4 linked regions of the Drosophila melanogaster genome follow. The protein of the gene in region 3 interacts with the protein of the main gene of each other region in a pairwise test. Each region holds a gene or a part of one and is shown on either strand. Other genes may lie near its edges. The genes, in order: TwdlF, CG2852, CG8219 and CG13784.

Region 1 (5,487 bases), on a different chromosome or scaffold from region 3:
CATCTGCCTTCTATTCCGCAGTTTGCCACCCTTGCGGAGCAGACGATCCTTCAGCAGGCACTCCAGGCTCCAAAGTTGCAGCAGGTCCTGACCGGAGGAGAAGGGCTCGCATCTTACTCAAATCAAAACCAGGCCTCCGCTTACCAACAGCAGGCGACGCAGTTCGGCCCAAATTCGGCGTACAATGCGCTGCCCCAGGCACATCAGCCTCAGCAGCAGCACCTCGTCTCCAAGGACATCTACGTCCATGTGCCACCAGCAGAAGAGCCCGAGGACCGCTACCCTCAGCCCGTCCTTCCGCCCGCGCCTCCGCGCAAGCATTATCGCATAGTTTTCATCAAGGCACCGACGACCAGTGTCTCGAAGGCGGCGTTGCGCATCAAACAGGCTCCTGTGGAGGAGAAGACCATCATCTATGTGCTGACCAAGAAGCCGGACCCACTAGATCTCCAGACTGCCATCGAGGAAATCGCGCCGAAGCAGCCCAGCAAGCCAGAGGTATTTTTCATCAAATACAAGACCCAGGAGGAAGCTGCGCATGCGCAACGTACCATTCAAGGTGAGCAACACCCGCATCGAGCAGATGCTATGAGACACACTTGAAGACCTCATCAGTATGCAACAGACCTCAAATGTTTCGATTTGCAAGCTTCATAGAAATGTCTATCGACCAATTAATCTGGCTTGTCCAAATTTTTATTACCCGATTTTTAACCGATTTACTTCTTTTAGCTCAATATGACCAGCTTGGCGGAACATCACAGGTTTCTGACGAGGGAGTTGCACCCGTTACATCCGTGATTGGCGTACTGGACAACCAGCGCAACAACGGAATTTCATCCGGACAGTTTTCTGGCTCCTTGCCAAACAGCTACTTGCCAACTAATCTGCGTGCTTAGGTACAACTCCAAGGCCACTGTCGTAATTTTAAGACTTGAACTCTTGTAATTTACACATTTAGTTAAATAAAGTTCATATTTTGAGCTCCGCCTTATGATAGAAAGCGACTCTGCAGCCATATTCAAATATGAAATCGAGTTTCAATACTTCAAAGTAACAAAATAGTTTTCTATGGACCATGTTACCACATCCATTAGTCCAATGACAGCCATCCAAGCCGAAAACCGGTCGCATAAATTAGCATGTGATTTGACTTACATAACAACGATTAAGCCACACGAAAACTTGATTATTATGGCTGTTGGCTTAATGCCAAAAGAGATGGTCCAAACTTTCTTGCGAGAAAGAAGTCATTGTCATAGTCTCTTAGCCCATTGAAACATTTTTGTGATAAAAATAAACAGCGTTTTCATAAGAAACATTAAACTCAAGCTATGCCTTAAATGAAAGATTAATTCCAAATCCTAAAACAAAACCTATCTAAAATATTAAAAGGATTAAACTTAAAAACGAGTACTAGAAACAGAAGGCTTTTTGGGTTTCGATTTAAATTTTTTTATATTTCTTTCGACTTTCGACTTTTGCATTAAAAATAAATTAAAATTTACTACAGTATGATGGTTGATATAAAACAATGAAAGCGATAGGATTCTTACTACAACTTTTTAAAAAGTCTTTGCCGGCACATACTTCCTTGATGGCGCCGAGGGAGCGAATGAGGAGGTGGACTTCTGCACAAAGGAGCTCTGCTGCTGGACCCCCTGGACCCCCTGGTTAATAGACTGCAGCTGAACAATGGGCTGACCCTGTGGCTGGATAATGGTTGGCGCCTGAGAGTGGATGATGGTTTGGCCAGCTTGGGAGTGCTGGGGCACAAAGCTGCCCAGGTTAAGGGAGCCACTCGAAACGCTGGCGATGGGAGCCACTCCCTCGTCCGAAATGTGGGTTGCACCTCCCAAGGCGTCGTACTGGGCCTGGATTTCCTGCTGGGCGCGCTGGGCCTCTTCCTGGGTCTTGTACTTAATGAAGTAGACCTCCGGCTTTTGAACCTTGGCCTCAGACTGGGTAACCTGCAGCTGCTGCTGGATCTCAGTGAGATCGGGCTTTTTAGAGAGCACGTAGATGACGGTCTTTTCCTCGTTGCTTGACTGGGCCCGCTTCAGGGCCGCGGCGGTATATTTCAGATTCTGGGAAGGCGCTTTAATGAAGACGATCCGGTAGTTCTTGCGGATGGGCACATTCTCCAGAAGTGGCTCGTCCTGCCGCAGTTCCTCATTCTCCTCGGGGGCGGAGTGGATGTAAATGTCCTTGGTAACGATAGCGGGGCGCTGGACGAACTGGGTCTGAAGGGCTTGCTGCGGTTGCTGCTGGTACACGATTTGCTGAGGCTGCTGCTGCACAGTGCTGATCAGGTTTTGCTGGGGCGAAGCAGTAAGGAAAGTCTCCTTTGGGAGTGAGATCGACAAAGGAGCGGGAGCGGGGGCGGGAGCAGGAGCGGCAACGATGGTCTGCACGGCTTGAATGGCTGGCTGGACACCGATCGCGGGCTGAGCACCGGCCTGTGGGAAAGATGGGACGGCGCCACTTGCGTATATTCCACTTGACGAAATGGGTGTCAGAGGACGAAGATTGCCAATGGGAAGGGCTGGCAGCTGAGGTTGGTACTTGTATCCCTGAGGAGCTGTTGCTGTGAGGGCCACCAGGCACTGCAAGAGCACATTAAGTGTTAGTTGTTGCGGGGATCGCTCATGTGCCAGTTGCTTACCATTAGAACAACGAACTGCTTCATTTTCACTTTGAACTGTCTGAGCTGCTAGGGTCGAATGATGCCCTGCCTTCCCATTGCTATGTTTTTATATCTGTCCAGGCTGGCATCGTTTTCCCAATAAATGAAAAAATTATTAGGCACTACCATAAATCGTATGAATCTATTATAGACTTCACAACTTCGAATATGTAACGTTTCACATTGGCGGTTGCCAAATCACAGATCCGTGTGCGCAGATGCACTGCTTGAACAGTCCGGGATCTTATCTAACTTGGCGACCAACGCTGCGTTCAAATTTAAATAATCGCTTGAGATCCCCATTGTCAACGCTGAATATATTTATATGCAAAATATTAATAGGTAAAGCGGTTCGATTGACAAAACTGGGATAATATGAAGAAAGTAAGTTTTATGGACGGAAACCCAATTTATACACATTCATGACCAAAATTGTGGGAAGCGATCTATCTGCATATAAAATTCGCTTTGTCGCAGATGTTGTATAAATGAATTTGTTATTAAACAAGTCTTTTCAAAAATGCAGAAAAACCAATAAGCTCAAAGATATTTGTGAAAATATGCTCAGTTCTTCAGAAATATAGCACTTCATGGCTTGAATCCAACCTGGAATCATGCTAACAATACTATTGTTATGGGTAATGCTTTTACTTGCTAGTTCAATTGTTTTCTACTTGCACAACGGTAATTGGAAATAATGGGCAATAACGGTAATGGAAATAACGGACAGACGTTCATGGCCAGATCGACTCGGCTATTGATCCTCATCGAGAATATATATACTTTATATGGTTGGATCTGCCTGTTACATAATTTTCAACGAATCTAGTATACCCTTTAACTCTACGAGTAATATAAATATTCTTATAAAGTGTGGTAAAGCGAATTTTGGTCGGCAGTTGAGCGTTAATTAGGCGAGTCGATGTTTTTAAGTTTCAATCGAAAACATTCCAAAAATCAAGTTTTCATTTGACGAAATGAAATAAATTGCCCGTTACTCAGCTAGAGGGAGTGCGAACGAGTAATCGCAACATTTTTTGGGCGGTTTGTTAGCGTTAAAGTGGAGGCAAAACAACATGCCAAAAACCCATCGAAATTGGCAGGAAAAAATTAAAAATATGTTATTTACAATTTTGAACAGTGTGGCAGCTTTTGGCGATTTGTGGGTGTTTGATCTAATCCATCCAGCTTTTATAGAACAGACAGACATGGCCAGATCGACTCGGCCATATGAACGTCGAGATCTCAGGAACTATAGAGGCTAGAGAGTTGAGATCATGTACATAGACGCAGCTTTTTGCCTTGTTAAATTTATTAAATTTTTCCTCAGTTTATTCTCCAATATCTATCGAAATACCAGAAAAGTGGTGAATTGATCTGAGTAACGGGTATCTGATAGTCGGGGAACTCGACTACAGCATTCTTTTTTGTTTTTTGTTTTTACGACTATTAAATACCATAAGTAAGGGGAATTTTATGGCCTGTACAGTTTTGTCGGTACAAAAAACGTTATCTAAGCATGCATAGAATTAAAAATGCCGTTATGTTTTTTAAATAAAGTTGTTTAGCACAAATTATTATTATAGAAAAAACAGATTATCATTGATTCCTATACATATTGTGGTCCCCGTGGCACATTCTTTTTCACTACGTGGACTACGTCCGTAATGATTGCATATAGTCACGGCTAATCTCCTTTCCCGGTAACACGACATTGAAACATAGTGTTATACCAAAGGCACTAATGTCTTCGGTTATATCTTATACTGATTATTTTGCGTTTAAACTAATACTTTTCATGAGAAGGTGGCAAGTACGGGCTTGTCGACGGTGCGTTTACCTTGCGAACGAACGCATTCCCGTCGTCAGTTCCACTTGAAATGACCTTAGACGCAAAGTCCAAGACGGAGACCGAGGCTCCACCGTTGTAGTTGGTTGAAACTCCCGGTAGCAAGTCATACTGGGCTTGGATAGTGCGCTGGGCGTTCTTCGCGTCGCTCTGCGTTCAATACTTCACAAAGTGAACCTCGGGCTTGCGGTTTTTGTTGTTGTTACGGATAGTATTCAGGTTGGTGATCCACTTGCCAATGTTCTCCTGCTTGTTGAGCACGTAAATGGCGATGCGGTCGGCGGACGCGGAGGTGGCCAGCTGGAGCGCCGCCTGCTCCAGTCCCTTGTTATCGGGATCCTTGATAAACAACACAAGCACGTTCTTCTTTATCAAGTGAGCGATCTGCTCGTTGGGGTGGTCATCAAATTCGTGCTCTGGAGCACTGTAGGTGAAGAACTCCTTGGTGAACTCGCTGGCGGGTGCTATAGCCTTAGAAAGCTGGGCGCGCCAATCAGTCCTCCGTGACCATTACCGGCATACGATACTGGAGTGTAGTCGTACTTCCCTCGCGCCATAGGAAAGAGGCTTAGAATCTGAAATTGTTTGATGGTTACACAAAGTGCGGAATAAATGCTTTGTGTTCTTACTAGAAAGATGCGCATCGTGAATACTTGTATCTACTTGTGGGTGGCTAAATACATTTTTTGTGCGGGCAGTTCGGCAGATGGGTTTCCTTTGCCGAAGATTACATTTGGTCGACGCTTTTATACGTTACTGTTCCAGTGGCTTTTCTGATGCAAGCAATCATTTGTAAGATGGAGAATATGCAAATCTATTGAAATTAGGGAGACGTAGGCCTATTTGATAATTCAGCCCATTTTCATTGCATATTATAGAGCAAATAAGGAAGAAGTAACATTATAAATTATAACAAAAAGCTTTGAGAGTTTGTGCGGACATGCCATATAAA
Region 2 (5,643 bases), on a different chromosome or scaffold from region 3:
CTAACTCAATTAAAGACACACTGTAAATCAATTTCGCCGCTGCTCTTTCTATGCTCTTTCAAAAATCATACTCATACTCTTTGCCAGAGTTGGAAAATACACTTACAGAAATAAAACCTGTACTTGTTTAAACACTATTTGAGAACAAAAGTATACTTTTTTTATATAGCTTAACTGTTGAGAATTTATTCATAGTTTTTTTTTTTTTCAAAAACTCAAAGTTATCACAAGTACATTTTCAATAAACAGTGTTTTTTCCATAAGTTCAGAAAAAAGAGTCACAATGCTATGATAAATACTGTTTTGTGCACCTAATTAAGCAAACTAACGAAGGAAAATACTTTTTAGTTTGATTTCAAAATTTTTTTTTTTTTAATTTTCGCATTTTTTATAAGGGGTAACATCATGATATTATGCAAAAAAAGGCGAAAATTTGAAAATCTAAGGCTTCAACACCAGTCGATAGAAAATTGTATTATGAATTCAACGATGTAACCCATTCCATATTTGGCTCATTATTTTTACTTTTTCGATCAAAAAAACTGCATATTTTTGGGCGGAAAACCGGGGGAATATATTGGCCAAAAATTCCATATTATTTCTCTCTGTGCACTCACGTTCTCTTTTGAGTTTGGAAACAGGTTGCCAGCGTGCTTGGCAGCGTTTCGCTTTCAGTTCGATTGTTGAGCGATCATGACGACAACGCTGCCGGAGAAGGAAGCGGAAACGCAGCAGGAGATCAGGGAGCGGGAGGCCAAGGCTCTGGAGGACCGAAAGGAGCGCAAGATCTACGAGAACTTTGCCACGCCCCTGGCAGGCACTTTTCTCAACCTGCCACGCGAGCCCGTGGAGATCGAGTGCCCCGCCTGCGGAATCAAGGATCTGAGTGTGGTGCAAAATGATCTGAAGTGGTGGGCCAGTGAACTAAACCGCATTGTGGGATGTCTTTTTGTGTAGGTTGCCTTACTTTCTCCTATTTCTTGGAAACGTAAACTTATAAAATACTTTTACAGGACCTTCTGCTGCTGCTGCTGCTTTAATTACTATGTGCCGTGCAAACAAACCGATCGAAGTCATTACTGCGGCAATTGCGGCTGTTACTTTGGACGTTCCATGAAGAGGAGGCAACCACTCAAATTGAAGGCAACCACCGCCTAGGCAGCATTGTTCACATATTTATTAAAATTCTTCTAAACACTCAATTTCCCACCCACTACTGCAATACCATCGAAACAAAAATAAAGCCAAAAATATCACATTTTCTCTTTTTTGGGCCGATTTTTTTCTCTTTGCATATCATTTGAACATTTTATTCCTACAATTTCTCTTCGCTAGCCTCAGTCTGCGTTTGTTTTTAAAGCAGTCAACATCTTTCGGTGCGAAATGGCTCAGGATCCGAAACCACTTTACTTTGCCGTGGGCCCCGGCCCCAACGACATTACGTGTCCTTATTGCAGGACCAAGGCCAAGACCCGTGTGGTGCGTTCCTGGCTGCGTTGCTGCACCAAGAGGCATCACTGCGGTGCCTGCGGGGAGTACCTGGGCGTATACCGCCGTCCACAACTTTAGATACCCACTGAAGAAGGATCATCGGATCCGAATTATTATAACACAATGAACAAATGTAGATCAGTTTTGTCATTTAATTTATATTCAATAATAATAATAAATATACTGCTGTTTGAAACGAATAAAAGTTTACTATTTAATGTGTAATGCTCAAAATGTACACTATACTTTTTACACTGTACATCCAATGGCATTTGTAACGCAGAGAGAATAACTCATTTGATTTCCATGCACTAACTTAATTACCAGACCAACGCCTCGGTTAAGAGAAATCGGGAGAGTGATTCTGATTTTGATTTTCCCTCCCATGATCTCTCCAAATTTGATCCATCTTTCAGTCACCGATCGTTCTCGCTGGAACTCGCATCATGACCGTGGACGAACCGCAGATTGTGGCCATCATTGTCAGCCACAAGCCACAAGTGGGATACCTGAAGGAGGAGCCCACCTGGATCCGTTGTCCTTCGTGTGAGAAGTCTGGAACCAGTTTGGTGCAACTGGAGTTGGTCACTTGCCTGCAGAGATTTCTGGGATTCACAAAACTTTGGTTGGCCATCTGCATGAAGCTTTATAAATCTTTCGTAATGTTCACTTTATTTCAGTAAAAAATGGTCTGGCCGCCAGGACATCAATCACTATTGTTCACACTGCGGTTGCTTCATTGGAAGATTTGTGCCCATCAGCTGCATGGAACGATGCATTTCGAGATCAGCCCGTAAACAGGCGGCCGTGGATGATATGACCCTGAAGACACGACCCAAGGATTGCGCTGAAAGGGCCCAGAAATCCAGGGAGAAAGTTCTGGCCAGCAGGGAGAAGAAGAGAGCAGAGAAGGCAGCCAAGGATATGGACAAATCTCAGACGCAAATAGCAGTACACCAATAAATAAAAGCATATTTTTTTACTTACTTTTTGTGTACAGAACCGTCAATAAAACAAGAGAGAATGCTACGTGCTAATGCAAACTGGACTTCTAATCCCTAAAATATTAAAAACTATACCAATAAAGTCAACTCTTCGAACTTACTTTGTTCCTTCGTACGAAAACCTTAACTTATGCTTTCGGCGTATTAACTATTTGAATTTGAATTTTCCGCCCGAATGTGTGATCATCAGACATCGTCATCGAATGGTCACACTTAAGCATCGATATTTCGACAAAAACATAAAAAACGATGGAAAACATCGATTGGCGATGCAACAAAGTTTTCTTACATCACTAACAGAAACCGAAAATTCAGTCGTGAAATATCCATTGGCGACGTCGCTTGAGGAATAAACTGAAGCGCTGTGAATATTTAGAACGATGAAGCTGTTCTTATCCGTTTTCGTGGTAGCCCTGGTGGCCGGCGTCGTTGTTGCCGACGATAGCAAGGGTCCCAAAGTGACCGAGAAGGTGCGTGCTCCTTGGACTTTCGTCCTTACATTCTGCATACACCACGTACATACACACACAAACACACACACACATTTGCTGCGCCATAAATCAAGTGAGATGACTTGTTAATAATAAACCGCTTCCGATTGCGTAGGTTTTCTTTGACATCACCATTGGCGGCGAGCCCGCTGGTCGCATCGAGATCGGTCTGTTCGGCAAGACGGTGCCCAAGACGGTGGAGAACTTCAAGGAGCTGGCGCTGAAGCCGCAGGGCGAGGGGTGAGTAGGGTACTTGAGTACCGAAAATACCCCAACATAGTAGGGTGCCAGGTACCGCTAGGCCAGCAAAAGATGCCGCTAATCAGCGGCACTTTGTAGGTTATAGCGGGGCTCTCAGATTGAAGCAATTACGTGGCGTTTGAGCGGCCAATCGCATACATCAGTTGACAAAGCGGCACTAATGGGTTAACAAAGAACGCCAACTGTTATTAAGTCTACCATACTATAAAAGTGCAGTTCTTGGGTATTTCTTTTTTCTTCTCTGAATTTATAAGTATGCATGTTCTTTTTTGGTTAGGTTTCGAGTTCTAAACCCAGTTTTTTTTTAAATTTAAATTCCCATGCTGACAAAACTGACCATCATGCAACGCTCTTATACCCCGCAGCTACAAGGGCAGCAAGTTCCACCGCATCATCAAGGACTTCATGATCCAGGGCGGTGACTTCACCAAGGGCGACGGCACCGGCGGTCGCTCCATCTACGGCGAGCGCTTCGAGGATGAGAACTTCAAGCTGAAGCACTATGGCGCCGGCTGGCTGAGCATGGCCAACGCTGGCAAGGACACCAACGGATCGCAGTTCTTCATCACCACCAAGCAGACCAGCTGGCTGGATGGACGCCACGTCGTCTTCGGCAAGATCCTGTCGGGCATGAATGTGGTGCGCCAGATCGAGAACTCGGCCACTGATGCCCGCGACCGTCCCGTCAAGGATGTGGTCATCGCCAACAGCGGCACCCTGCCCGTTTCGGAGGCCTTCTCCGTGGCCAAGGCCGATGCCACCGACTAAAGTGTTTGGGGAGCATGTCATCCATCAGCAACATAACCGATTTGAACTAAGCATAAACGCATAATCGATTTTTCCAGACATTTGCATTTACCATAGCTCGCCATGTTTATTTACATTTCGTTCCGTAAGCAAGTAATTGTGCTCAACTAAAAACAGAAATGGCATAAATAAAGAATGATTTTTTGTGTGATAAAGAGCTGGAATCGTTCTGTGTGTCTATACCATGATGCCGGTGGTGTGCAGGTTCAATGAACCGGTTTTGGTTCCATCGCTTTCTTTTGGCTCTGACTTCCCTTAGTGGCAACCGGTTTGTGCCTTCTTCGCCAATTTGTTTGCCTTTGTATGTTGTGCCGTTCTCGATTTAGATTGCCCATGTTCTGTCTGTTTTTTCTCTTTGTTGTTGATAAACAACGCTCGGTTCGTCACATTTTTCTGATTTGCACACTTGCGACAAATTAAAGAACACACAGACGAGTTCATTTGTATATTTATTCAGTTTGTTTGGGCCTGCTGGGAACTAATTGTATATGATTGAATGAACAGGTGCATGACTGTCTCTGCAGAAGTTAATCGGGTCGATTGATACTTAAATAAGTGCCACTGGCTCATCTTTCGATCAAGTATCCTGTTCTTTATAGAAAGTTTCCTTTCACAACCCTTGGACTAAATATTGATTACTATATACATACCATACTATACTATCCCATGTATATAGAGGTGAAAGCCCGAAACCAGCCCTCTAGTAACTAATTATATATAGCATAATTTTTCAGATCTCAGACGCTGATGAATTGGCAACTTTTACAATTAGCGAATGCACTCAAATGCAACAACATTGTCTAGAAATGCATATGTCTGCCAATCCTTAGACTTCACGTCCCCCAATCTTTTGTTTAGAGCGAGAGAAACCAAGAACTGAAGAGACGATCTCATATCGTTCAAATGTGGGGAATCGTATATGTACATATATATGAAGACGTACATATGTGCAATTGTACCCCTTTCACAGACCCCACAATCGCTGTGTATACATTAATGAAAGCAATAGGATCTATATGAAACGCATGTGTATTGGGGTCTGGTGGCAATCTCATGTGCCACACATGTTCCAGTGACCACAGAAATTCTGGACGTACTTCTAAGATTATATTCCCGAGAGCAATCAGTTGAGTGTTTTGTTTTTGTGGGGAGTCAAGGCGCTGGGAGCGATAAGTTCAGTCTCATTCGTAAACTCAATACAACCGGAAGAGTTTACCGGCGAATGCAATTGCATTACGGCCGGAACTTAAGTATAATCCCAAGCTGATCGTTGATAATAGGGAATATGGTTGGTAAACGGATGCAAGAAGTTCTAGAAAAAGTGTCATCCAAATAGTTTCGAAGCTACTGGAAGACAGATAAGAAGAGATTGTCTTTAATTCGATGATGTGTACTTTCGGAAATGACCTAATTAGTTGTGTGTATGTTAAACCATATAGGAATCTCAATGGAATCGTTGGATCTTGCTGGCTATTTTGGGACTAGCTCTGGGCCAGATTTCACAGGCAGCCAAGATCCTGGTACTGTTTCCCCATGTCAACGAGGGTCACTTTGCGGTGATGCGGACTCTGGTCACCGAGTTGGCCAAT
Region 3 (7,183 bases):
CCGAATTTGTACGACAGTGGTGTGTAACACGTTTTATATTTAAAATGCTTATTCTTTCCTTCTATTCTCTTATCTATCCTTCCCGTTCTTCCCATTACTCTTAAATTACGCTTGAACACTGAAACCTATAAGCACATCGATCTATTCCTTTGTTCCACAACTCACTAACAATCCACATCATTTAACTGGAATTTAAATTTGCTTTTGAACTTTCGTGTTTGCCAAAGCCTGCTAATTTAGTTTACTTTTCCTGAAAACGACATTTAAACATTTTCTTTGAAAAATGCAGGTGCACATCGTTGCGGCACATACGAGACAATGATGAGAAGGACTCAGCCTTCCGTGGAATGTGTCATATGATCACGGTGAATCCAGCTGGCGTGGTAGCAGACTTTATATTCTTCTGCGATGCCATCGCTTCCTGGGTTAACCCACCAGAGGATCTGCATCAGATGATACAGAAGGTTTGTACCCTACAGGTAGTAACTATTTTCTTTATTTCACACATGTTTCTTTCAAGATTCTGCACGGTTTTAAGACCCAAGTGGGCGAGGAGAACTGGCGTCGATTTGTGGAGCAATTCCCGCCAACCTTGGCCGAGCGCCTGACCACAATGTATAACATCTAAGGCTAGCCATGCCATAAAACACCCACCTTCACCCATTAGCGAGCCAAGCAGCAACTTTTTAACTAGACAATTATGTACAAGTATGCGTAATAAGCGTGTCGTCTTTATCTTTAGCCTCCTTAAGTTATTCGATGCAGTTCGAATGTTAAGTTAACATTGAAAATCTAAGCTTATAGAAATCGAAAAAAACAGCAAATCCACATAAAAGAAACTACATAACTAGATTTAAATCCACAAACATATATCGAAAAATCGAATAGAGAAGAATCGTATATATTTGAATTCAAGCTAGAGGATCTTTGATCTGTAGAACCTCTTTAGGCACACGACTGTCCGCTTACAGCATATAAAATGCCTTTCTTGTGCAGAAAACTTAGTAGGAACCACTAGAAAATTATGTGTTCCGGCCGTACTTAACCGGAGTCAGTGCTATAGCAGATATGCCCCATTCTCCAATACACTCTGCCCCAAAACCCAAACCGAAAATAGAGTTGAATATGTTAAACACACGGGTGTTTCTCATATAGTAATAGAAAAGCTAAATGAAAAATCGTCGAAACTAAATGATATTGCGGGTCCTCGTCGCGGTAATTAAAAACTAAATAACTAAATAAAATCTTTAAAGGATGAAAGTGTTGGGTCTCCTGTGAAATCCTAAGATCAGAAATGGAAAAATGGATTCAATGGCAGGTGCACACAAAATTGTTACAAATCAAACAAAGACTGATGTTCAACTCCGTTCAAAAACCATAGAAAGCATTCATCAACAGCGGATTCCAATTTCCCAGAAGTATCCAACACTTTCGTCATTTATATAACAAACAAAAAATGGAATCGAAAAAAATCGTCGCGTTTCGGGTTCTAACGGTTTCGCGTTCGCGTATTTTCGTCGCTCGTTCGTAATCGTAATCGTCGTTCGTGGTATCTCGTCGGGTAAAACAAAAGAAAAAGGAAAAAAGGATATAATACAAGGATAACGATAATATTGCAACTGTTACTGATACAAATTTACTGATACACTTAATGATATTCATATGCTATACAAAATTAGGTGTTTTTTTACGCATTGTGAAAGCGAAAAGCAAGCAAATAGGGAAACATTGTAAAATTGAGATTAGGATTTTGTTGAATATCTTATTTATTTTCCATTAACTGAATACAAAAGCAACCATTGACTGATCACTTTTTAAAGTATTATTATATAATTTTTTTTTGTATAGGGACAAGTGTAATTAATGAACTATTATTATTTTCTTCGAACTTTTATATCATTTGTATAGACTCGTGTTTTGCGTAACCTCTATAATTTACGATCTTTGTACAGAACAAATTTTTTACAATTATATGATTAGGTGTAAAGTGTACTACTAAATGAAAACAAAAGTCTTTGAAATTGTCGCGGAACAACTAAAACATACGAAAAATAAAACTAGGGAAAACCAAACTCAGTCAAATACAAAATAAATGGATGATTATGAAGCGTAAGAAGAGTAAGTAAATCTAAGTAATAGTATTACGTAATTATGCAAACCGTGTTTACGTTTGTGTTTTTATTTCGTTTCGAAAATGGGGGAACGTGTGATAATAAAGTAACTTCGGGTCGTTCGTTCGCGTCGCGTTAAACTCAATCAATTTAAAAACTAACAATAAGGGACTTTCGCCCCCGAGTCCCAAATAATAATCGCAATACTTGATAACTTGATAATAATACGGTCTAACTAAAGCGGAAGCATAGCAATTGCTAAAACTGAAACTAAACTAAAATGAAAAATCGTGATTTCGTTGTACCTTAATCCGGATTCATCGCGGAATCCGGTCGCGTTCGCGTGCGTTTGTATCTCTCTCGGGTGATCTTAGTGATTAGCGTTTAAGCAGAAAAAAAAAATGAAAACAAAAAAACTGAATCAACACTACTACAACTACACATAAACATACAACATTAAACATGTACACACCACACATATACAGCAATATGAAATATATTTATAGATTTTATGCAGAGTAGGTTTTTGTTTAAAATATTATTTTTCATTACGATAGGGCAAACCAAAAAAAAAAGTAGGGAACATCAAATAAACTAAATGTTAGGTCAAGCTAGGGCAAGAAACAAATTAAAACAGCAAATCAAAAGTTATTTGTGCAGCATTAGAGAATTTTTTTCTTATTTCTTTCAATATTATCGTGTGTATGCTATTAAATCGATGAAGAGAACATACCAACTGTTTTTAGTACTTTACACAATTATGATATTTAACTTCCGTTGTTTTTTTTAAGTAAATCAAGACCAAGCCTAGTAAATATTGTTTTACCATCTATATCTTCATAAACAGCACGTAAAACTTTTCGTTCATCGAACATTCAACTCTGATAGGTTTATATCTCTAATCGTTTAAGCTTACAACCACTGTCTAGGCTAAATCAAATGTTCTGCAAATGTCTAACGAAATTGAATATATATACGGGCCTATATGCATAAATAACATACGCATATATATGAAATACATGCATGTATGTATAATCCCTACATCAAACTATATGGATTACAGATTATTCTTCTGGAGTTTATATATTTGTTTGGCTAAAAACTCCATTTCAAAATTCAACTATCAAGATTTGTGTAAATTGAAAAGTATATATATGAATAAATATGTATGTATAACAAACATTACCCATCAAGATAATGGATTTTCTGATTTGTATGGGATATGAGTAGGCCGAGAACAGAGTGTCATTCTCTGTCACTTCGGTAGCCCCCTTTGGCAGACCTTACCCCACATTTATCATACAAAACCCGGCTAACTTTTGCATCAGCAGCAAAATGGCATGGACACCACGGGATGAAGGTCTGCAGCAGCTCCTACCGATACTCAAGGACTCACAGTCTCCCGGTAAAGCCACGCAGCTAGCCGTGCAAGAGGTAAGTACCGAAGACCCAACTGATTTAGCAATCCTCATCGGGTGCTTCCCGGACTTCAACAACTATCTCGTCTATGTGCTCACGAATCTGAAGACGGAAAACGAGGCAACGCGCTCCATGAGCGGCCTAATCCTCAAGAACAACATTCGCATGCACGACATCACTCTGCAGCCGGAACACCTGGAGTATATCAAACACCAGTGCCTGCAGGCAGTGGGCGACTCTTCACCCGAGATCCGTGGCACCGTGGGCATTCTGATTACCACCATTGCCAGCAATATCGGTCTGCACAACTGGCCGCAGCTGCTTCCATCTCTCTGCGAAATGCTCGACAACCAGGACTACAATGTGTGCGAAGGAGCATTCAGTGCTCTGCAGAAAATTTGCGAGGACTCTGCCGGAATTTTGGAAAATATGCCATTAAATACAATGATTCCAAAGTTCCTGGAGTACTTTAAGCACAGCAGTCCAAAGATCCGCTCCCACGCCATTGCCTGCATCAACCAGTTCATCATCAACAGATCACAGGCCCTGATGCTAAACATAGACAGCCTCATTCAGAACCTCTTAGACGTGCCCTCGGATAATGACCCAGCGGTTCGCATGAACGTCTGCCACGCATTGGTTGGTCTGGTGGGGGTGCGCATAGACCTTATGATGCCGCACATGTCGCAGATTATTGAGGTATGAAGTTAAGGTTTAGTTTTAAATTTTAACGTAATGAAAAATCTCTGTAGCTCATTTTGTTGCGCTCCCAGGACGCCGATGAGAACGTGGCTCTGCAGGCCACCGAATTTTGGCTTTCATTGGGAAAGCAGAGAAACTGCAGGGATATACTTTCTCCCATTCTATCCCAGTTAGTCCCAGTTCTTGTAAGCCGAACGCAATACACGGAGACGGACATTATTCTTCTGAAGGGCGATGTAGGTGAAGATGACAAGGAGCCTGATAGACAGCAGGATATCAGTCCACGTTTCCACATGTCCCGCGTACACGGTATAAGTAATGAATTGGATGAAAACTCGGACGACGATATGTGGGATTCGGCATTGAACTTGCGCAAGTGCAGCGCTTGTGCTCTCGACATTATTTCGAAAATTTTCGGCGATGTCTGTCTGCCCCTTATGCTGCCCATCCTAAAGGAGGCGCTATTCCACCAGGAATGGGTGATCAAAGAAAGTGGTGTGATGGCCTTGGGAGCTATTGCGGAGGGCTGCATGCAGGGCTTGATCCCACACTTACCAGAGCTGATTCCCTACCTAATTACCTGTCTGTCTGACAAGAAGCCACTCGTACGCTCCATTACATGCTGGACGTTCATGCGATTCCCCAAATGGGTGCTCAACCAGCCGCACGACAAGTACTTGGAGCCTCTAATCGAGGAACTGCTGAAGTGCATCCTGGACTCCAATAAGCGCGTTCAGGAAGCTGCGTGCTCTGCCTTTGTCGCTCTGGAGGAGGAGGCCTGCACGCAACTGGTGCCCTACCTGGAGAATATGCTAAAGACGTTCGTCTTAGCCTTCTCCAAGTACCACCAAAGGAATCTACTGATAATGTACGATGTCGTTGGTCTTTTAGCGGAGTCCGTCGGTCATCATCTGAATAAACCGCAATATATTGACATCCTAATGCCTCCGCTAATGGATAAGTGGAACCTGGTAAAGGACGACGACAAAGATATAATCTATTTGTTGGAGTGCCTATCGAGCATCGCCACTGCGTTGCAGTCCTCCTTTCTGCCCTACTGCGACTCGGTGTATCGAAAGGGCATCTCCATTATTGAGGAGACTATCAACCAGGACATGGTAAGCAACTGTGTTAGCTTCAATGTAAATCTATCAATGAACTCGACTCCTTTCAAGATGTGTAAACAAAGCCAATCAACCGATTATCCTGACAAGGAGCGCATGGTTATCGCCCTGGATCTGGTGTCTGGCTTGATCGAGGGGCTGCAGAGCCTCATAGAGCCACTGGTGGCCAACAGCAAACTTTTGCAGCTGCTCTGCCAATGCATGGGCGACGTTATGCCCGAAGTAAGTTTTACCTAATTAATATACTCGTGTATATGGGATTAAAATACATATTAGGTTCGCCAATCATCGTTTGCCCTGCTGGGTGATTTGAGCGGGGCTTGTTTTTCCCAGGTATACCCCTACACGGCCCACTTTATTTTGATCTTGGTGCAAAACCTAAACCCCAGCGTTGTTGGTGTGTGCAACAATGCAGTTTGGGCCATAGGGCAAATCTGCGTTAAGTTGGGTAAGTTGGCTTGGTTCTCTTATAATGTAACAAAAAAGATTTTTTGTATTTCGCCCCTAAGGTGAGGAAACCAAGCCGTACGTACGCCTTCTGCTTAGCGAACTAATGATCCTGATGAACCGGCAGGACATTCCAAAAAATCTTTCGAGGAATGCGGGTAAGTAATTTGGCCTGATTTAAAGTAATTTATTATTATTATTCTTTTTTTTAAGCAATAACACTTGGGCGCCTCGGAAATGCATGTCCAGATGAAGTGGCTCCCTATTTGCCCGAATTCCTACGCCAGTGGTATGTACACATTAAATGCTTCATTTGCTCATTTTTTAAATTATCCTTTCTTCCACGAAATGAAGGTGCTTGTTATTGCGTTACGCATATGACCACGACGAGAAGTATTTGTCTTTTATGGGAATGTGCCATATGATCAGGGAGAATCCAGGAGGCGTGGTGCCCGACTTCTTATTCTTTTGCGATGCCATTGCCTCGTGGGACAATCCTCCACAGGATCTGCGTCAGATGATTCGAAGAGTAAGTTATTTCCGGAAATTATTAATTTTCGTCTTTCAACAATACTCGTTTGTTATTCTAGATTATCGAAGGCTTTAAGAACCAAACGGGTGCGGAGAATTGGCTAATTTTTTTGGGGAAATTTCCACAACCACTGGCCTGCCGGCTAATCGAACTGTACGACATCGAATACTAATCCGAAGCTATCCAGCCAATTATGTATTGCTTCAATCATCATTCTAATTTTACTAAGTAACCAAAGCCCCAAAAAAAGTCAGCTATTGAGTAATATACGATTTTATATAATCATTTATAATATGAATAATTCAACAAAACCTGAAATATTTTTGTAAATAAAGTCTCAATAATTGTAAAAATGTATGTTACACCATTTAAAACTTATGACATAAAAAAACAAAAGTTTTAGTTTCATTAAAATGTTTATTTTATTGGTTTATTGGAATTACAAAAATGCAAGATTCTCTTAAGGAGTTTTAAAAAGGATATATAAATGTAAATGGCTTTAATAGAATTGGCACGCAGTTTGGCTTATAGTACTAGGAATATATACGACTGGCATCTTTGCTAAGGATCTATTACTTTGAAGACCTTATGACTTTTTTATGACCCGTCGATTTTGTTCGTTTGAAATTTGATCGTTCGTTGTCCTTTGATTAGCAGTTGTCGGCAAAAGAAGATTCTTCCTGGCAGTTTTTCGTAGTCGTTGTCCAAATAAATCATAGGTCCTTAAGTCGTTCCGAAGTTCTTTATTAGTTGAGGGGACAATAGCCCTGCCAAATATCGCCAACGACCATGTTCGGCGTGATGTTGATCATCCTTTGGTTAACCTCCACCTTGCTGATGCAGCCCTT
Region 4 (6,436 bases), on a different chromosome or scaffold from region 3:
AAACCACAATTCTAATCTTGATTTTACAATAATTATTCAGCGATGATTTCAAGCAATGAGCTCATGCAAAAAGCACAGAAAATTTTTCCAATTATTATATTTACTTTTAGTCGTGCCACGGTGTGAGTTTTATGATTAATTCCGTGTTTAATATGCATATTTACGATCAACAACAAAGGCAGCCACGTTGTCAATTTTTACAATAAAGTCAACGGGATGTGTCATTCCTTCTTGTTCCTATCCATAATCTGCCTCCCTTTGTTGGGAGTGTTTTTTTTTCTCTGAATATCACATATGTGAAATATATTTCCATCACGTGAACTAATTAATTGTAATTGCGTGCAATTTATGGTAAATTCACGAAATAACTTTTAATAGTTGAAGTGTTTCGTGCATTTTGTTGTACACAAATTGCCAGTTGCACTCAACTAAATTTTTTTTTTTTTTGCGGGGGTTTATTCAGTCGGAATAATAATAATTACGGCGTACGGAAAGCAAAAAGTCGTGCATAAATTAAAAGCTACTTCCTATCATTGTTGTAGCCCCCAAAACATTCCTATTGCACTATTACTTAGCCTCCAGACTGACTGACTTTATTCATAAAACCCAACTGAAACTGATCGCGTGTCTGGAAAAAAAATGTCTGGCCACAAGGAATCGTAAACATCTATATATAACGTATACATATTGTATTGGGATTATTCGGCTCAAAGCCTCGTTGCCCAGCTGATTCAACTTTGCTCGCCGGCAACAGTTTCCAGCTAAATAATTTATTTATTGATTGCCACCCAGGCCAGACAAATTGACGGCGTCGATGAGGGCCACCAGTTGCTCCTATTCTTTTTTTGTTTTTGCGTTCACGTTTCACTTGGCTTGTTAATAAATTATTAGTAGGAAGCGATGGGTCTCGAAAAACCACAATAGCAGCAGCTTTAAACGGGCTAAACAACCTGAAAAATACACAGAAACCAGCTGGACAAAAGTAGTTGACCCTGTTGTTAAAGGCCAGTCGAGAAGTAGCTGGCCTAAAAATCCGTTTATTCCGTTTATTCCATATGGCAAATATATATTTTGAACTAAATATGAAAATACGTTCTGAATAAACAATAGCGCAAATTCAATTATATCTTTTTGTTTGTTGGCTCTGTGTCAGTTTCAACTGGTTTCAATGGCATTGTCACATTTTGAAAGCTACTTTGCACACTCATTCAAATTGAATTAAAAATTTACTTTATTAATTTTGATTTATATGTTTCGCTCTGCAAAAAGATGAATCAACAATCCAGGGCAGCTGGATGAAACCATTCCAGAAACGAAAGTTCAGACTGTCAACATTTTTAAGTCACCTAAATATTCCCAAAAACGACTGAATTTCGTATATTACGAAATAGTTTTTTTTGACTTCTTATAAACTATAGTTGCGCTTGTATTGAGTTGAGTGTAACAATCTTATCAAACATCCCACAAAACATTAGTTCAGCATGAAAGCTGATAAATCTTCCATCAAGTGTCCTAAACCCCAGCGAAAATAGCGATTATCGACGACATTGTGCATTGTGCCGAATACCTAAATACCGCTGGGAGTACAATAAAGATAAAACCAGTACGCTGGTCCTTCGTCCAAATTGTGGAAGTCGTCTATCGACTATGGTGAGCAAAATCGACCAGAAATCATGACATAGCTAACAGATAGGAAGGGGTTTTGGTCTCAAGTGCTCCAAACCGTAAATTGTCGCGTCGGACCATGAGAGAATTTCGCGTGATAAGCGGTTTGAATTGCCCACCCAGATAAGCCGTAATACCATACCAGGTATTTGCCGAGTGGGTTTAGTCATCCCAATGTGGGTGAGATAAAAGTGGACAGGGGTTTACTTAGAGAGGTTCAGGTACCTGACGTTTTCACCGCAGGGGTGCCAGAGGATTCGAAACTACTGCGAAAGAGATCTTTCTGTATATATATGTAGATATAATAGCATGTTTCTAAAGTAAGTTTTTAGGTAGATTTTAAAGACAAGGAAGTGCCATATCAGTAATTTTCTAGAGATTTTTTTTTTAAAGAATTATGATGTATTTCAATTGTATTCTCAACCCAAATCAAAAGAAAAAAAACGAGAGAGAATTTGCAGGTGTTTATTTTCATTTGAATACGCAGCGTTCAAAAGTGATTTGTGTTATTTTCGAGTGCTGTACAGTCAAAAAGAAAAATAAGCGCGTGCAATAAAAGTTCGTTTTGCCTTTCATGATTGATTTATTGCTCAAAAATGGCATATTTGGATATGAAATCGTCATAATTACTTGCAAAATTTTGAGCTTTCACATTTAAGCACTTTTGTTAACATTATGGAGCATTAGGTAATGAATTTAATTAGTTTCGTACGGATGCTAGTAATGTTTTAGTTTCCTAGGTATCTATTATGTATCTAGTATTCCAGTATCTATTTTCGATTACAAATTTAGTTATTTTTGATTAGCGTACAAGTTAAGTCTTACCAGAAGAGTATTCTCAGCGAGTTGGCCACCAGCAGCGCCAGGCACACGTACAGAGAGAATCCCTCCGCGTCCTGCGTCTTCTTGATCTCAATGTATTGGGGCACGTAGGGGATCACGCCCCCAATAACCATTGCGGAGGCGGCGGCCCAGCCCACCACGTGACCGACCGTCAGGCCCATCTCATCATTGATGATCCAATCCATTGTGAGCTATCTCTGTTTACTGGAAATTTGGTTATATTTAGTTTATTCGTTTACTTTGTGTTTTGAAATTTATTTTTCGTTTTAGGTTTTGTCGTTTAGCGGATATGTGTAGTTTATGTTATTGATTTGATTTTTTGACTAGTTTAAAAGCCGGCGATTGGAAGTAGTCGTTGTTGTAGTTACTGGATTTCGCATCGTTTGCGGTTATAACTATTGTTTGTTGAACAGTGTAATGCAGGAAGGAAAGAAAGGAAGTCAGCTGTGTGTTGTTGTTGCTGTGCTTGTTTTTCGTCGTTTCGCTTTGATCTTCTACTTTTGCACACACACACACACACACTGACGCACACCCACACGCAGGCAGCGAAGATATTTATTTTCTATTTCCCTATTGCTCTCGCACGCTCTCACTCTTTGTCGCTCTTTTAATTTTTCCTGTGTTTTCGTTTTCCGCGTTTTTTTTGTATTGAATTTTCACCGAATTTTCTATGCCCCTTTTTTCACGAATCGTCACCGATTTTCCTGCGCACACTTTTCTGGCAGCGGAAAACACTAGACGAGCAAAGCGCTGCAATCACAAATCGCTCCATTTCTACGCAAACACATCAGCACACTTCATAAATGCTCTCGGCATTTCAATTGCATTTTCCCCCGTTTGCCTTTTCCGTTAATTGAGTTAAATTTTTGTTGTGGCTGCAGCCGTTGTTGTTGTTGCTGTTGTTGCTATTATTATTGTTCCGGAAAATCGTACTTATTCATTCGCTAATTGCTGTCGCTTGCTGTTGTTTCAATTTTCGTTCTTCTTCGCACTTTCGGTGGTCAGTTTTCCTTTCACCTCGCCACAGTTTGCATTTCCTCTGCGAGTTTGCGGAAAAACTGTCCGCGGATCAACCGCACGCAAGCGAAAACAACAACACAAACAAACGTACACAAGTTTTGTGGCTAGTGTTACCAGTCAGCGAAATCCTGAAACTCACATTCCCTAACGCATCTGACATTATTATTCGATATTTTTGTTATACTCGTTTTCGACCTGTTTAACGGTAAGATGACTAAGTACCGCGGAGTACCAATCGGTACCTATTTCCGTACCTAGTGTTATATAGGTACAAAATAGTATGTGCGCCTCCAACAAAAGCGTTTCAAATATAAATGAGTTATTTGTATTAATTTATATATATATTTCATTTTCAAAGAAAAATAAGACGAAAAATTCAACTGATATCAACAAGCTGTGATTAATTAAGTATACCGATTTTTGTTGAATCTTGTTTTATTATACAAATAACTGTACACTTCGCATTTATCACAGTGAAAACTGAAAATTGTTGTATGAAATAAAATTTAACTAAGCAAAAATAGGGGTGACACAATAACATTTCGATTTGATAGAGATGGTAATTAAAAATAGATTAAGTTAAAACCTAGTTCTTCTTTTTCTTCTTGTCGGGTTGGGCCAATCCTTGCGACTCCTGGTATTGCCGGACGATCTGATCCTGGACATCTGGGAGACAAGGCGAGTACCTGGAGTACTCCATGGTGAATTCACCCTTTCCCTGGGTACTCGATCTGTAAATAAAGATGAGATATATTTAGATACAATTCAACGTTTCCAATGTGTACTGAAGATTACCTCAGCTCTCCCGCATAGCCAAACATGTCGTTCAGCGGTACCTCCGCGTAGACAGTGAACCAACCCTCGGTTCCCTCAGTTCCGGTGATGATACCATGCCGTTTGCTCAAGTGACCCATTACAGCACCCTGGAATTCCTCGGGTGCAGTGACCTCGACCAGCATAATGGGCTCTAGGATTTGCCAGCTGCCGTTCTGGAAGACCTCTTTGATGGCACCATGGGCAGCCAACATGAAGGCGAGCTCGCTGGAGTCCACGATGTGGTGACCACCATCTTGCAGGCGGAATCGAATGCCGGACAACTTGTGACCGGAGAGCATTCCCTTCTCAGCCATTTCTCTGTAACCTAAGCAAATAAAATATTAAAATCAGAACATTGAGGAATGTAATTTTAGTTACCCTTTTCGACTCCAGGAACAAATTGTTTTGGTACATTGGTGCCCACTGTTTCGTCCACGAATTCCAGCAGGGTGTTTTGGTTCGGCGGTAGTGGTTCCATGACTCCAATAATCCTGGCATATTGACCCGATCCTCCCGATTGTTTCTTGTGCAGGTAATCAAACTCACACGGTCCCACCAGGGTTTCCCTAAATGCTACTTTTGGCTTTCCCAGCGTCACTGGGCAACCGTATTCCCTCTCCATTCTCTGGGCATAGATCTCCAAATGCAGTTCACCCATTCCCGAGACAAGAGTTTCCTTTACATCGTTGTCGAAAAAGAAGTGGAATGTGGGATCCTCTTTGGTGAATCTCGCAATAGCCTTCGAGAAATTATCCCTATCCTTGGTATTATTTGGCTTAATGGCCATTGAGACCACGGGCTCGGGTACAAAGATGGATTCCATAGACAGATTGTTCTTGGGATTGGTGGTGAAAGTGTCTCCGGAGGCGCAATCAACTCCGAAAAGCGCAAATATATCGCCGGCATACACCTCGTTTACATCCTCCATTTGATTTGAGTGCAATCGAACCAAGCGAGCAATTCTCACTTTCTTGTTGGTGCGGGCATTGAAGATGTTGTCACCCTTCCGTAGGACACCTTGGTAGCATCTGAGGTAGGTTAGTTGGCCAAAGCGACCAGCTTCCAGCTTGAACGCCAAGCCAACAAAGGGATCCTTGCCATCGCGGGCGGGATTTAAGACTACTTTTTCTGGGTCTTGTCCTTCCTTCTCGATGAAGCCCAGGTTCTCTACCTCTCCAGGATTGGGCAGGTAGTCAAGTACTGCATCTAGCAATGGCTGGACACCTTTGTTCTTCAGTGCTGTGCCCACCAAGACAGGTGTGAAGGTTCTATTGATGCAGGTTCTCCTTAAGGCCGCCTTAATATCGTCTTCTGTAAAGGGCTTCTCTTCCAGGAAAAGTTCTCCAAGCGTTTCGTCTGCATTTGACAAGTGTTCGATAAGCTCCTGTCTTCTCTCCAGGCTCTCTACCCGCATATCCTGTGGAATTTCGTCCAGCCTGATGTCCATTCCGTGCTCGCCCTCAAAGTATATGGCTTTTTCCCGCACCAAATCCACGATGCCCTTGCAATTGCTCTCCACTCCAATGGGCAGCTGAATGAAAGCAGCGTTGTGGTTCATTTTTGACCTCATCTGGGATAGAACTCTGTACGGGTTCGACCCCAAGCGATCCAGTTTGTTGATGAAAGCCAGGCAGGGCACATTGTAGCGCTTCATCTGCCGGTTAACCGTCAGGGTCTGACTCTGGACTCCTCCCACGGCGCACAAGACCAGAACGGCACCATCGAGAACTCGGAGTGCGCGCTCCACCTCCACGGTGAAGTCCACATGCCCGGGTGTATCGATAATATTGATATTGGTGTCCTTCCACAGTGTGTACGTGGCTGCCGATTGAATGGTAATGCCCCGCTGCCTTTCCAGCTCCATGCTGTCCATGGTGGCACCCACGTTATCCTTTCCTCGCACCTCGTGCATCTCCGCAATCCTGCCGGTGTAGAACAGAATCCTCTCCGTCAAGGTCGTCTTTCCACTGTCAATATGCGCCGAGATTCCTATGTTCCGGATCCTCTCGATGGGCTTGTGCTCCGAAAACTTCGCATGCGAACTGTAGCCGGCCTGAAAAGTTATTTGTACCATTAAACTACATTTCTTACA

What was found.
Region 1: the proteins of CG8219 (region 3) and TwdlF interact in a two-hybrid assay, tested with the Drosophila melanogaster proteins (one large-scale study listed by BioGRID).
Region 2: the proteins of CG8219 (region 3) and CG2852 interact in a two-hybrid assay, tested with the Drosophila melanogaster proteins (one large-scale study listed by BioGRID).
Region 4: the proteins of CG8219 (region 3) and CG13784 interact in a two-hybrid assay, tested with the Drosophila melanogaster proteins (one large-scale study listed by BioGRID).

Annotation. Positions count from the first base shown.
Region 1 is NT_033777.3:4,244,263-4,249,749, reverse strand, and holds TwdlF (TweedleF), read right to left. Parts: upstream 2,731-5,487; 5' UTR 2,690-2,730; coding exon 2,666-2,689; intron 2,607-2,665; coding exon 1,566-2,606; 3' UTR 1,437-1,565; downstream 1-1,436. Other genes in the region: TwdlG (TweedleG), read left to right, coding at 1-559, 733-899.
Region 2 is NT_033778.4:22,643,504-22,649,146, reverse strand, and holds CG2852 (uncharacterized protein), read left to right. Parts: upstream 1-2,802; 5' UTR 2,803-2,875; coding exon 2,876-2,965; intron 2,966-3,101; coding exon 3,102-3,226; intron 3,227-3,612; coding exon 3,613-4,015; 3' UTR 4,016-4,501; downstream 4,502-5,643. Other genes in the region: CG34445 (uncharacterized protein), read left to right, coding at 694-953, 1,014-1,158; CG34446 (uncharacterized protein), read left to right, coding at 1,384-1,569; CG30195 (uncharacterized protein), read left to right, coding at 1,938-2,116, 2,172-2,454; Ugt317A1 (UDP-glycosyltransferase family 317 member A1), read left to right, coding at 5,340-5,342, 5,494-5,643.
Region 3 is NT_037436.4:6,197,094-6,204,276, forward strand, and holds CG8219 (uncharacterized protein), read left to right. Parts: upstream 1-3,379; 5' UTR 3,380-3,446; coding exon 3,447-3,545; intron 3,546-3,638; coding exon 3,639-4,229; intron 4,230-4,282; coding exon 4,283-5,350; intron 5,351-5,407; coding exon 5,408-5,578; intron 5,579-5,632; coding exon 5,633-5,804; intron 5,805-5,865; coding exon 5,866-5,961; intron 5,962-6,016; coding exon 6,017-6,092; intron 6,093-6,157; coding exon 6,158-6,332; intron 6,333-6,393; coding exon 6,394-6,507; 3' UTR 6,508-6,683; downstream 6,684-7,183. Other genes in the region: Tnpo (transportin), read left to right, coding at 1-19, 290-464, 521-628; LanA (laminin A), read right to left, coding at 7,082-7,183.
Region 4 is NT_033779.5:7,216,419-7,222,854, forward strand, and holds the start of CG13784 (uncharacterized protein), read right to left. Parts: upstream 3,616-6,436; 5' UTR 3,442-3,615; exon of another isoform or gene 2,713-3,441; 5' UTR 2,694-2,712; coding exon 2,491-2,693; intron 2,436-2,490; coding exon of another isoform or gene 2,435-2,435; exon of another isoform or gene 2,233-2,434; intron 1-2,232. Other genes in the region: mEFG1 (mitochondrial translation elongation factor G 1), read right to left, coding at 4,115-4,259, 4,324-4,669, 4,723-6,397.